Callithrix jacchus: one gene and its partners. The protein of the gene in region 1 purifies or fractionates together with the protein of each later gene. This does not show direct contact. Links are inferred from orthologs where the notes say so. Each region holds a gene or a part of one and is shown in the gene's direction. Other genes may lie near its edges.

Region 1 (3,652 bases):
ACAGATGGGCAGGATGGGTGGGGCCAGGAAGGCCACGGCTGTTTCCAGCTGTTGGAGATGTGCTTTCTCCTTGGTCCGTGCAAACTCTTTTCCGCCTGCCCATTGGCGTAGGGGCCACAGCAGGGGAGTTAAGACTTGGCAGCCCCTTGACCCCAGACTGTCCCCGCCAATGGAGCAAGAGCTGCTCAGAGCCATTTCCCTGTTCTCCCAGATTCAAGGGCGTGAGCCCCTTGGCCCAGTCCTGGAACCCGGCACCCCGGGAGGGCCCCTCAGGAAGAGGCCGGGGCTGCGGCTTCGGGTGGGGCCGGCGGCCTCTGCTGGGAGCCCAGCATCTGGAAGCCATCAGGGCAGGGGCGGGGGAAGTTGCAGGGGAGGTCCAGGGAGGGAGACAGGCCTCCTCCAGGCCACACACAGGCCCAACCCTCGGGAGCGTGGCCTTGGGCCCACAACCGCTGCCTCTGCCCCATGGCCCGCAGCCCCGCCCTCTGGCGCGCACGCCCCGCCCCCGCAGGAAGCCCCGCCCTCTTCCCCAGGGCTGCCTTCTCACTCCACCGGCCGCTGCTCCTGCAAGGGTTAGTAGCGCTCCCCACAGCATGCTGGGAGCCTCGCTTCTCCGGCAAGGGGTGGGTCTGTCTCTTGGAGTGGGTGGGCTGCGGGGAGCACTGTCTGTAGGGGTTGTTGGCTGCGTGTCTTTTTGGGGAGTGAGTGGTATCTGTCTTGTCCTGAGTGAGGTGTGTGAAGTCTCAGCCTAGTGGGGCTGGGGCTTGTGGCTGGAGGCGTGGCCGTGAGGGTAGGAAGGGAGTGGGGACGTCTCCCTTAGTCCTGGGATTCAAAGCCTGAGACACTGAAGAGGCGCTCCAGGCGCCCAGCAGAGCGGGACAGCGTCGTCGTCCCTGACTGTCGGCGTCCCACGTGCATCAGAATCACACCATGCAGGTTTCTGGGCCCCACCAGGCCTGCTAGTCAGACACTGGGGCCAGCACCCGTCGTCTGCACAGTTTCTTAGCTCCTGGGTGTTTTGACGCTCACACTGGGAATTCTGTTGGGGAGGAGAAACTGCCCCCCGTGAGGGAAGCCAAGGAGGGGATGGGTTTTTGTTGTTGAGACAAGGTCTTACTCTGTTGCCCAGAAATGCACTGGCTCGATCATAGCTCCCTGCAGCCTCCACCTGTGGGCTCGAGCAGCCCTCCCACTTCAGCCTCCTGGAAGGAGTAGCTGGAACTACAGGCGTGCACCACCACACCTAGCTATTTTTGTTTTTTGTAGAGACAGGGTCTCAGTATGTTGCCTAGACTGATCTCAAACTCTTGGGTTCAATGATCCTTGGCCTTGATCTCCCAAAGAACTGGGATTACAAGTGTGAGCCACTGTGCCTGGCCCTCGCTGGGTTCTGAGCAGACTATCTTACCCTCAGCCAGCCTATTCAGTCCACCTGGGTGTCCCAGGAGCGCCCCTCCATCACCCTCTGGGGGTGGCCTGGCATCTTTTGCAGCAGGGGCGGGATGCAGGTTCTACTGGGACCCTCTGGAGATGAATGATGAAGAGGGCGCTTTGGCCAAGCCTGTTCCTGTCCTCTCTGGCAGCCTTGCCAACATTCCACTGACCCCAGAGACCCAGCGGGACCAGGAGCGGCGGATTCGACGGGAGATCGCCAACAGCAACGAGCGGAGGCGCATGCAGAGCATAAACGCCGGCTTCCAGTCTCTCAAGACCCTCATCCCCCACACAGACGGAGAGAAGCTTAGCAAGGTGGGTGAGAGCAGGGAGGGCTTCCCGGAGGAGGCGGCAGACTCCCTCTGGGAGAGGAAAGTGAGCTCTGGTAAACACTACCAGCTTGACGCTTGGCTTTTCCCTGCCTTCAGGCAGCCATTCTCCAGCAGACAGCCGAGTACATCTTCTCCCTGGAGCAGGAGAAGACCAGGCTCTTGCAGCAGAACACACAGCTCAAGCGCTTCATCCAGGTGCTCCCTCCCTGCCCCCCTTCCTGGCTCCCTCTCCTGGCATGGGCATCCCAGGACCCAACCCTGGGCCTGGGATGCAGGTATGGCTGCAGGCCCCTTCTTGCCCACTGGCAAGTACTTCAGGCACTTGTTTTCCTGCCCCAGCCTCAGTTTCCCCATCAGTCTAGTGTGGTGGAGTGGGCTCTGCAATGAGCCAGGTGACTGCTCCTGAACAGCAGCCCTTCTCCTGGCATTTGGCTGGTTTGTTGGACTTGCAGAAGGGGCTCCCTAATGAAGATCCACCTGTGTTGGGCAGCTTTGAGGGGCTGTGATGGAGCCCCAATCTCCGTGGTGGTGGTACCGAGGTGTCAGGCACACTGACCGACTCCTTGGGGTCCCCAGGAGCTGAGCGGCTCGTCCCCCAAGCGACGGCGGGCAGAGGACAAGGACGAAGGCATCGGCTCTCCGGACATCTGGGAGGACGAGAAGGCGGAGGACCTGCGGCGGGAGATGATTGAGCTTCGGCAGCAGCTGGACAAGGAGCGCTCGGTGCGCATGATGCTGGAGGAGCAGGTGAGGCAGCGCCCTCTGCTGGGCGCGGCGCGTGGTGCAGCGGGCGTGGAGCCTGGGGTCCCCCCTGTAAGGCTCTGCTACCCTTGGTTGAGCCCTATTTACAGGCGCACCTGCTGCGGTGCCAGGCTTAGGAGTGGGGAGCAAGCCAGACACGTCCCTGCCCTTGGGGGTAACCGTTTGCATCGCGGTGGGGGAGATTAGTCAAATGACCTAAAAAATGTAACCCTATGGGCTGGGTATGGTGGCTCACACCTGTAATCCCAGCACTTTGTGAGGCTGAGGTGGGAGGATCACTTGAGCCCAGGTGTTTTGAGACCAGCCTGGGAAGCGTAGTGAGATCCTATCTCCACCAAAAAATATGTGAAAATTAGGCAGGTGTGGTGGGGTGTGCCTGTGGTCCCAGCTACTCAGGAGGTTGAGCTGGGAGGATTGCTTGGGCCCAGAAGGTGGAGACTGCAGTGAGCGGTGATCGCACAATGGCACTCCAGCCTGGGTGACAGTGACACCCTGTCTTAAAAAGCTAGGTGTGGCCGGGCGCGGTGGCTCACGCCTGTAATCCCAGCACTTTGGGAGGCCGAGGCGGGTGGATCACGAGGTCAAGAGATCGAGACCATCCTGGTCAACATGGTGAAACCCTGTCTCTACTAAAAATACAGAAAGTTAGCTGTATTACAGGTGGCGCGTGCCTGTAATCCCAGCTACTCAGGAGGCTGAGGCAGGAGAATTGCCTGAACCCAGGAGGCGGAGGTTGCGGAGAGCCGAGCTCGCGCCATTGCACTCCAGCCTGGGTAACAAGAGCGAAACTCGGTCTCAAAAAAAAAAAAAAAAAAAAAAAGCTAGGTGTGGTGGTGCACATCTGTGGTCCCAGCTACTTGGGAGGCTGAGCTGGGAGGATGGCTTGAGCCCAGGAGGTGGAGGCTGCAGTCAGCTGTGATTGTGCCACTGCACTCCAGCTTGGGTGACAGAGGGAGACCCTGTCTCAAAACAAAAACCAAAAACAAAGCACTTAATCATGATGAAGGCCAGGCTGGAGCTGTGGCATCCGGAGTGGGTTTGACCTGGTTTTCCAAGTGATGCCCCATGGCTTCTCCATGGAAGTGGGAGGTTGAGTCTCATAATTAACCAAAGGGCAGAGAAGG
Region 2 (3,652 bases), on another chromosome or scaffold:
CATGGAAAAGAATAGAGAGCCCAGAAATACATACCTTCACAAATATAGTCACCTGATCTTTTACAAAGGTAATACAATGGAGAAAAGATAGTCTCTTCAGCAATTGGGCAGAAGCAACTAGACACCATATTGCCTCCTTTACTCCCAAATAATACAGACACAGATCCTATATACTTCACAAAAATTAAATCAAAATGGATTAAAGGCCTAGATGTAAAACAGAAAACCATAAAATTTGTAGAATACAATATAGTAGAAAACCCACATGATCTTGAGTTTGTTGGTGACTTTTTAGATACAATGTCAAAGGCATGCTTCATTAAAGAAAGAATAAGCTGGACTTCATTAAAATAAAAAATTTCTGTTCTGTGAGAGACATTGTCCAGAGAATGAAAAAACAAGCCACAGACGAGAGAAAATATATGCAAAAGACATAGAAAGAGCTCTTGAATCTCAACAGTTAGAAAATTAATTAACCTATTAAAAAAAAAAAATAAGGCATAGACCTTAACAGACATGTCACCAAAGAAGATACACAGATGGCATATAAGCATGTGACAAGATGTTCCACGTAAGTCATCAGGGAAATGTGGATTATAACAATGAGACACCACTGCACACCTGTTAGCATGGACAAAATCCAGAACACTGACAACACCCAATGCTGGCGAGCATGTGGAGCAACAGGAACAGGAGCTTGAATTCACTGCTGGTGGAAATACAAAATGGTACAGCCACGTTGTAAGGCAGTTTGGCAGTTCTTACAAAACTAAACATACTTTTACCATATGATCCAGCAGTTGTGCGACTTAATATTTACACAACGGAATCAAAAACTTATGTCTACACAAAAGCCTGGACCCAGATGTTTATGGCAGCTTTGCCCATAATTGCCCAAACTTGGAAGCAACCAAGGTGTCCTTCAGTAGGTATATGGATAAATAAACTGTAGTACATCTAGACAACAGGGATAATTTTCAGCACTAAAAAGGAACGTATATCAAGCCATGAAAAGACAGGGAGGAAGTTTAAATGTGTATTACTATGTGAAAGAAGCCAATCTAAAAAGGCTACATACTGTATGATTCCAACTCTGTGACATTCTAGAAAAGACAAATCTGTGGAAGCCGTAAAAGAAGCGAGAAAAGGAACACTCAGGAGTATGAAAACAACTATTAATAACAATTTCCTTCCTTTAATCCTTTTTTCCTTTTCTGCAGTATATACATAGTCATTGTGTCACTTTATAATTTTTATTCTGATTTTTAAAAATGCTTAACTTTGTAATGAAGCATGATATTTTCTCATTAAAAACTCTTCATAGTTTACTTTGAGACTTTTATGAAATGTTGGACATTTTATTTTTGTAAACATAGGGGTATGCATTTTTAAAAGGTCTTAATAGTTATGTTGTCATGTTGCTTTCCAGAGATTGAGCCACTTCTTTATTTTTACGAGACATAAAATAAAATGGAAAAGCAGGGTCCTGCCTTGTCACCCCGGCTGGAGTACAGTGGTGTGATTGTGACTCACTGCAGCCTTGCCTCCTGGGCTCAAGCAATCCTGTCACCTTAGCCTCCCGAGTTGCTGGGACTACAGGCAGACACCACCATGCCTGGCTAATTAAAAAAAAAAAAAAAAACATATATAAAATTTGTGGAGATGGGTTTCCCAGGCTGGTATTGAACTTCTGGGCTCAAGTGATACTTCTGTCTCTGCCTCCCAAAGTGTTGGGATTACAGGCATGAGCCATAGCACCCAGCCAGTGAGTGACTTCTTTTCACAGATTTTATTTTTTAAAAGTTCCCTTTATGAGGCCATTGGTAAGTGTAATGAGATTAATAGCTAAGGGTTCAAATTAAACAAAATAGCACATCTATCCTAGTAGTTAACCACTATTGTCTGTATTCCTACTTGTTTCTTACCTGTTTGATATTCAATGTTTCTTATTTACTATAACCCAAGTATTTCATTTTATAATCAGAACATAAGGTGGGACAGTAATATTCATCAAAATATAGTATAATAATAAATCGTTGTTTGTGGCTAATCTTGTCTCAATAGATTTGGGATAAAACCAGCCTGGAATGTTTGAAAGTGTTAACAGGACACACAGGCTCTGTCCTCTGCCTGCAATATGATGAGCGTGTCATTGTAACTGGCTCTTCAGATTCTACAGTGAGGTGAGTGATCTGGCTTTGTTGATCTTGTAAGCCTTCCCTGAGAAAGTCTGTGATTGACATCCTCCTCTGGGAGAGGCATACATAAACTTTGCATACATTTTTACAGGCTGTGTTTCAAACTACTTTTGTTGTAGATATGTTTGAGCAAATTAGGCAAAACAGCTAATTTAAGAGTGTTGCTGTTCATTTTAGAGATGATAACATGCTTTCCTGTACGAGCACATACCAAGTATTAGTCTGGCTTTTTCCTTTTGGGAAACTGTGGTCCAGAGCAGAGAGGAGGAAGGCAGCTATTCTAGGAGTGTGGTGGGCACCACCTACAAATACTGAAAGACTCAAAAGCAGTTTGCAGAATCTTTTCAGCAACACCAGGAAAGTAAAATGTGAGAGCGGATAGTATACTCGGTACTCTGTATCATTTTATCAGTTCTCACATCAACCTTTCTGAAGAGGCAGATGTTACCTCCATTTTTGGAGTTGTATTAGGAAACCAAGACCAGAGAGATTAAATAATTTGCTCAGAGTCACAGAATTAATAAATTTTGAACCTTGAATTGATTCAAGTCATGACTGTATATGTAGCCTTGCCAGTAGTGGAAGCACTGATTTTCATTTGTCACTGAGTGGCAGAATGATGAAGATGAAAGTGGCAATGTTCTGCAGTACAAGGAAAGCAATGACGTTTGGGTAAGAGGTGAGCGAGTAGAAAGGGAACATTATTGATATCCATTCCTATACCTCTGGGATAAACGCATTTTTTTCACACCAGATGGGCTTGGGAGTTGGGTGTAGTGATGAGGCCATCAGAGCTGTAGGTCACACAGGAAAGCCTCAGCAAGACTACTGGTATCTGGAGGAAATGTGAAAGAGAAGGAAACAGCTCTTCTGGGTTGGGTCAGATATTTGAAGAGGATTGTTTTACAGGTACACGAGCCTAAGCGATTGGAATGGTCACTGAGTCTGTCTTTGGATACCCACGTTCTCCCCTTTTCACTCCTCTTTATGTTAGTTGTTGTTATTAGCCTCTCACTTCACTCCTGGACACTCTCACCACCCGTTTAAAGCACGCCTAGTATCCTCCTCTGGACTCATTGCTTCTGTACCACTGCTTCTGCCAGAGATTGTGTCTGAGCCTCAGAGGCCTGAGTCTTTTCTCCTCTGCCCTGTGTGAACTTGTCCTCTAAGGAAATGAGGGTTACAAAAAAGCCATGATGTGGAGGTGCTGCCCCCAAATCCCTGGATGTACAAAGCAGTTGCTAGATCCTGGCTTTGTCCATAAAGCAGCCGGATAAAGAAGTGGATGTGATGATTGATGAGGCATCATGACTTACCCAATTTGCAGTGGATAAATAATAGACTCAGAGGCCTGTCAGAGGTCAACAAGAACTGGAAGCTTGGAACTATTCTCACTTCTTCAGCTGTCAAGATTCCTTCTTCCTGTCATCTCAGACTCACTGCAAAATTTACTT
Region 3 (3,652 bases), about 88 Mb from region 1:
CCCTGCAGTTTTTAATTGCGAGCTTCACTCAGGGAGGGGCCCTCAATTTCCAGAGGCGTTAGTGATTTGATGACACAGCCATTATACTGCTGGAGTCCAGGATAGCTTGAGTTCTGGGTACCAGCAGCACTGCTGGGAACTTCTGTTAGGAATTTTGCCTTAAGCTGAAGTATTTAGCAAACATAATGCATCAAAAGTAACTTTAAAAAAAAATAAACCTAGGAAAAAAAGCAGTTAACTGCATTGTTCGATACTCTGAAGTTAAATGTTTACCATTCCAAGTTATCCTCTGTGAATAGAAAAGACTGTTTGTGGTTTTTGTCTTTTGACTTAAAGGCATAGCAAACTCGGTCCGTGTAATTATTGACATTTAACATTTATTGGTGCTTGTGGAGCAAGTGCCTCACTGAATCTGAAATACTGTAGATGCTAACATCATTTATAAGATAAAGAAAAAATGATATTCCATAAAAGGGGGCTAAACTGGAAAAAGGAAATAACATGTTATAAAACCCAAAGTAAATACACAAAAATAGAATAATCAAATATGTCATCACACAAAATTCCCAAGCTATCCAGTGGCCCCACACTCTTCTGTGAAGCCTGTATTTACAATGAGAGGGCTATTTTAAACCTGTACCCACTTCAAAGCACAGAAATGGGGGGCTTATAATTAAGAGTTGTGGTTATCTTGGCCTTTGACCTCTATGATAAGACCTGAGATCCAGGGAAATCAAACTCAAATTTGCATTGCTAAGTATGTGACAGAAGCATCTTGACCTATGTCATTTCTGGCTCCTGAGGGTTTTATTGGGATGGGCACTAATGCTACTGTTATTAATCAGATTCCCCATTTAAAATGTATCTTATTAATGGTATCAAATTGAATGTCAGAAGTTTTATAATAATCTTCAAGTCTGGGCCAAATTATTAGGTGACAGTGGCTGCCACCTCATCCTTGCCCTCCACAACTTGCCCATATTTCAAGCAGTGTGTCTAAAGGACACACTGGCAACATCCCATCCCCTTCCTTCTCCCACTCTCCCAGTCTGGGCTTCTCTCTACCACTTTCCCACAATCCATCAGTATTTACCGCAGCTTAGTGCTGCAAAGGAATTAAAGAGTAGAATTATAACACTTACCATGAAAATATGAGGAGTGGCAGGGCATATGATGGTCAAATATAGATAACAGATTGTAGCTTGAGTACCTTCTAAGTCTCATGTGTCACTTCCAGAGTGTGGGATGTAAATACAGGTGAAATGCTAAACACATTGATTCACCATTGTGAAGCAGTTCTGCACTTGCGTTTCAATAATGGCATGATGGTGACGTGCTCCAAAGATCGTTCCATTGCTGTATGGGATATGGCCTCCCCAACTGACATTACCCTCCGGAGGGTGCTGGTTGGACACCGAGCTGCTGTCAATGTTGTAGACTTTGATGACAAGTACATCGTTTCTGCATCTGGGGATAGAACTATAAAGGTAATCAGGTATCTTTCAGTAAGTCTCCAACTTAGAATAGGGGAATTCATATGAAAATGTGATCAAGGGCAATGTCATATTTAAACATCACTGAAGAAATATGTAGTATTTATTTCAGAGACTAGTCTACAAGTGAAAAGGTAATAAATGAGATGTGTGACAATATGAGCTAGGTATTTTATTCTTATAAATAATGGTGAGTGTGAGAAGGGCAGGGGCAAATGTAGGGTCAAGAAAAATGTATCTGCAAGATCAGACTAACCCTAGAAGAGAAAATCAGTTTGAGGAATTTTCTTGATAACAGCCAACAGCAAATTAGCCTCTATTACCATGAATTTAAATTGTCTTTTGCTCTGTTTGAGAATTTGACTTCCCTTTAATGGTTCAGTCTCATTTCCTGCTTCCCTAAGACTCCAGTTGCCATAGATTTTACCAGTAAAAGCACCAAATCAATTGCTCAATGCCGTTTTCTTTTTCAGGTATGGAACACAAGTACTTGTGAATTTGTGAGGACCTTAAATGGACACAAACGAGGCATTGCCTGTTTGCAATACAGGGACAGGCTGGTAGTGAGTGGCTCATCTGACAATACTATTAGGTGAGCAGCAAGTGCCTTTTATCGTAAATGATCAATATTATGCTCCCATTCATTATTAGTGCACAGATCAATCAAGTCTTCAGTTTTGTTATGTTTATAATCAACTGTTTTTCCTTTTTGTAGCTTCTTACAGGTCAGAAGCAGAGAGGCAGCAACAAAGCCTTTTGTTGCCCATCTTTTTTTTTTTTTTTTGAAATTGGAGTCTTGCACTGTTGCTCAGGCTGGAGTACAGTGGTGTGACTTGGTGCAATGTGTACTTGGCACATTGCAACCTTGGCCTCCCAGGTTCAAGTGATTTTACTGTTTCAGCCTCCTGAGTAGCTGGGATTACAGGCATGTGCCACCACGCCCGGCTAATTTTTGTATTTTTAGTAGAGATGGGATTTCACCATGTTGGTTAGGCTGGTCTCGAACTCCTGACCTCGTGATCTACTGGCCTCAGCCTCCTGAAGTGCTGGTGTGAACCATCATGCCCTGTCGTTGCCCTTCTTTTTAAATTTCTCCTGTCTACAGTTGCAAAATGCTATTAAGTTTTCTCTTTGTCATTGTTTGCCACTTAAGAAGTGAAAAGAAAGATATGTTTTCTTACTAGAAATTATGTAATTTTGGTCTTAGCATTACATAATTGGCCATAGAGTTACCTGTCCTTGAAATTATGAAGATTTCACAGTTGGAAGTCATTTTTTAATTTTCTCTTCACAAAGATGAATGACGTGGATATTAATAGAATTTGAAAGATCTATCCATCCTCTCTCTTCAGTGAAGTACTAAAAGGATGAAAAGGCCACTAAAAAAAAAAAACAGATAGAGCTACTGTTATATCTAAGGAAATTATTCCTAGAAATCACTTTAAAAAGTTCTGAAAAATAATTTCAGAATATACAGTTTTTAAAATTAGTACACAAAAGTTTTTGAGAACTGGCTTTGCATTTCCATTCTCTGAGAAAAACTGTCCTGGACAGTGGTGAAAGAAGTGTCCACTGTGGCAGAGGGAGAGGTGCTTTGTGAGAACAGGACATCACTGATAATCTGTATGGTGACTTCAGGAAACTACTTTCTTAGTTTGGTCATTTTCTTCTCAGGCAACTGTGTGCCTTGAATTCATCATTTTTATGCCTGGAAGAACCTGGTTACAGAATTATATAAAGCATTATACTTTGAAAATACATACTACATTTGAACTTAAACCTACATTTTTCTGCATGAGTTATATAGCAGAAAGGAAATAAATTACATTGAAAATGGTACTTTCTATGTGGGTGGTGATTGATTTTATTTTGTGAGTTTTTAGAAGGCATATGAAGTGTATTATTATAACACTCCAGACTTAGAATATGTGAAAAATCACTTGACTCACTTTTCTCTTCCAGATTATGGGACATAGAATGTGGTGCATGTTTACGAGTGTTAGAAGGCCATGAGGAATTAGTGCGTTGTATTCGATTTGATAACAAGAGGATAGTCAGTGGGGCCTATGATGGGTGAGTATAAAAAACAGTGTTAAAAAAAAAAGAAAATCTACCTCTTAATCCTTCCTTATGTTTATGGTGTTAAACATAACCATTCC

What was found.
Region 2: the proteins of TFAP4 (region 1) and FBXW11 purify together in Homo sapiens (affinity purification with mass spectrometry; 7 studies listed by BioGRID and IntAct, counting the BioPlex papers as one, with this or other methods). This does not show direct contact. The link is inferred for Callithrix jacchus from reciprocal best matches to the Homo sapiens genes TFAP4 and FBXW11.
Region 3: the proteins of TFAP4 (region 1) and BTRC purify together in Homo sapiens (affinity purification with mass spectrometry; 4 studies listed by BioGRID and IntAct, counting the BioPlex papers as one, with this or other methods). This does not show direct contact. The link is inferred for Callithrix jacchus from reciprocal best matches to the Homo sapiens genes TFAP4 and BTRC.

What each region holds. Positions count from the first base shown.
Region 1 is NC_133513.1:6,366,545-6,370,196, reverse strand, and holds part of TFAP4 (transcription factor AP-4), read left to right. Parts: 5' UTR 1-465; coding exon 466-572; intron 573-1,583; coding exon 1,584-1,749; intron 1,750-1,862; coding exon 1,863-1,961; intron 1,962-2,342; coding exon 2,343-2,513; intron 2,514-3,652.
Region 2 is NC_133503.1:64,156,270-64,159,921, reverse strand, and holds part of FBXW11 (F-box/WD repeat-containing protein 11), read left to right. Parts: intron 1-2,064; coding exon 2,065-2,183; intron 2,184-3,652.
Region 3 is NC_133513.1:94,486,693-94,490,344, forward strand, and holds part of BTRC (F-box/WD repeat-containing protein 1A), read left to right. Parts: intron 1-1,237; coding exon 1,238-1,487; intron 1,488-1,966; coding exon 1,967-2,085; intron 2,086-3,455; coding exon 3,456-3,566; intron 3,567-3,652. UniProt on the Homo sapiens protein: Substrate recognition component of a SCF (SKP1-CUL1-F-box protein) E3 ubiquitin-protein ligase complex which mediates the ubiquitination and subsequent proteasomal degradation of target proteins. Recognizes and binds to phosphorylated target proteins.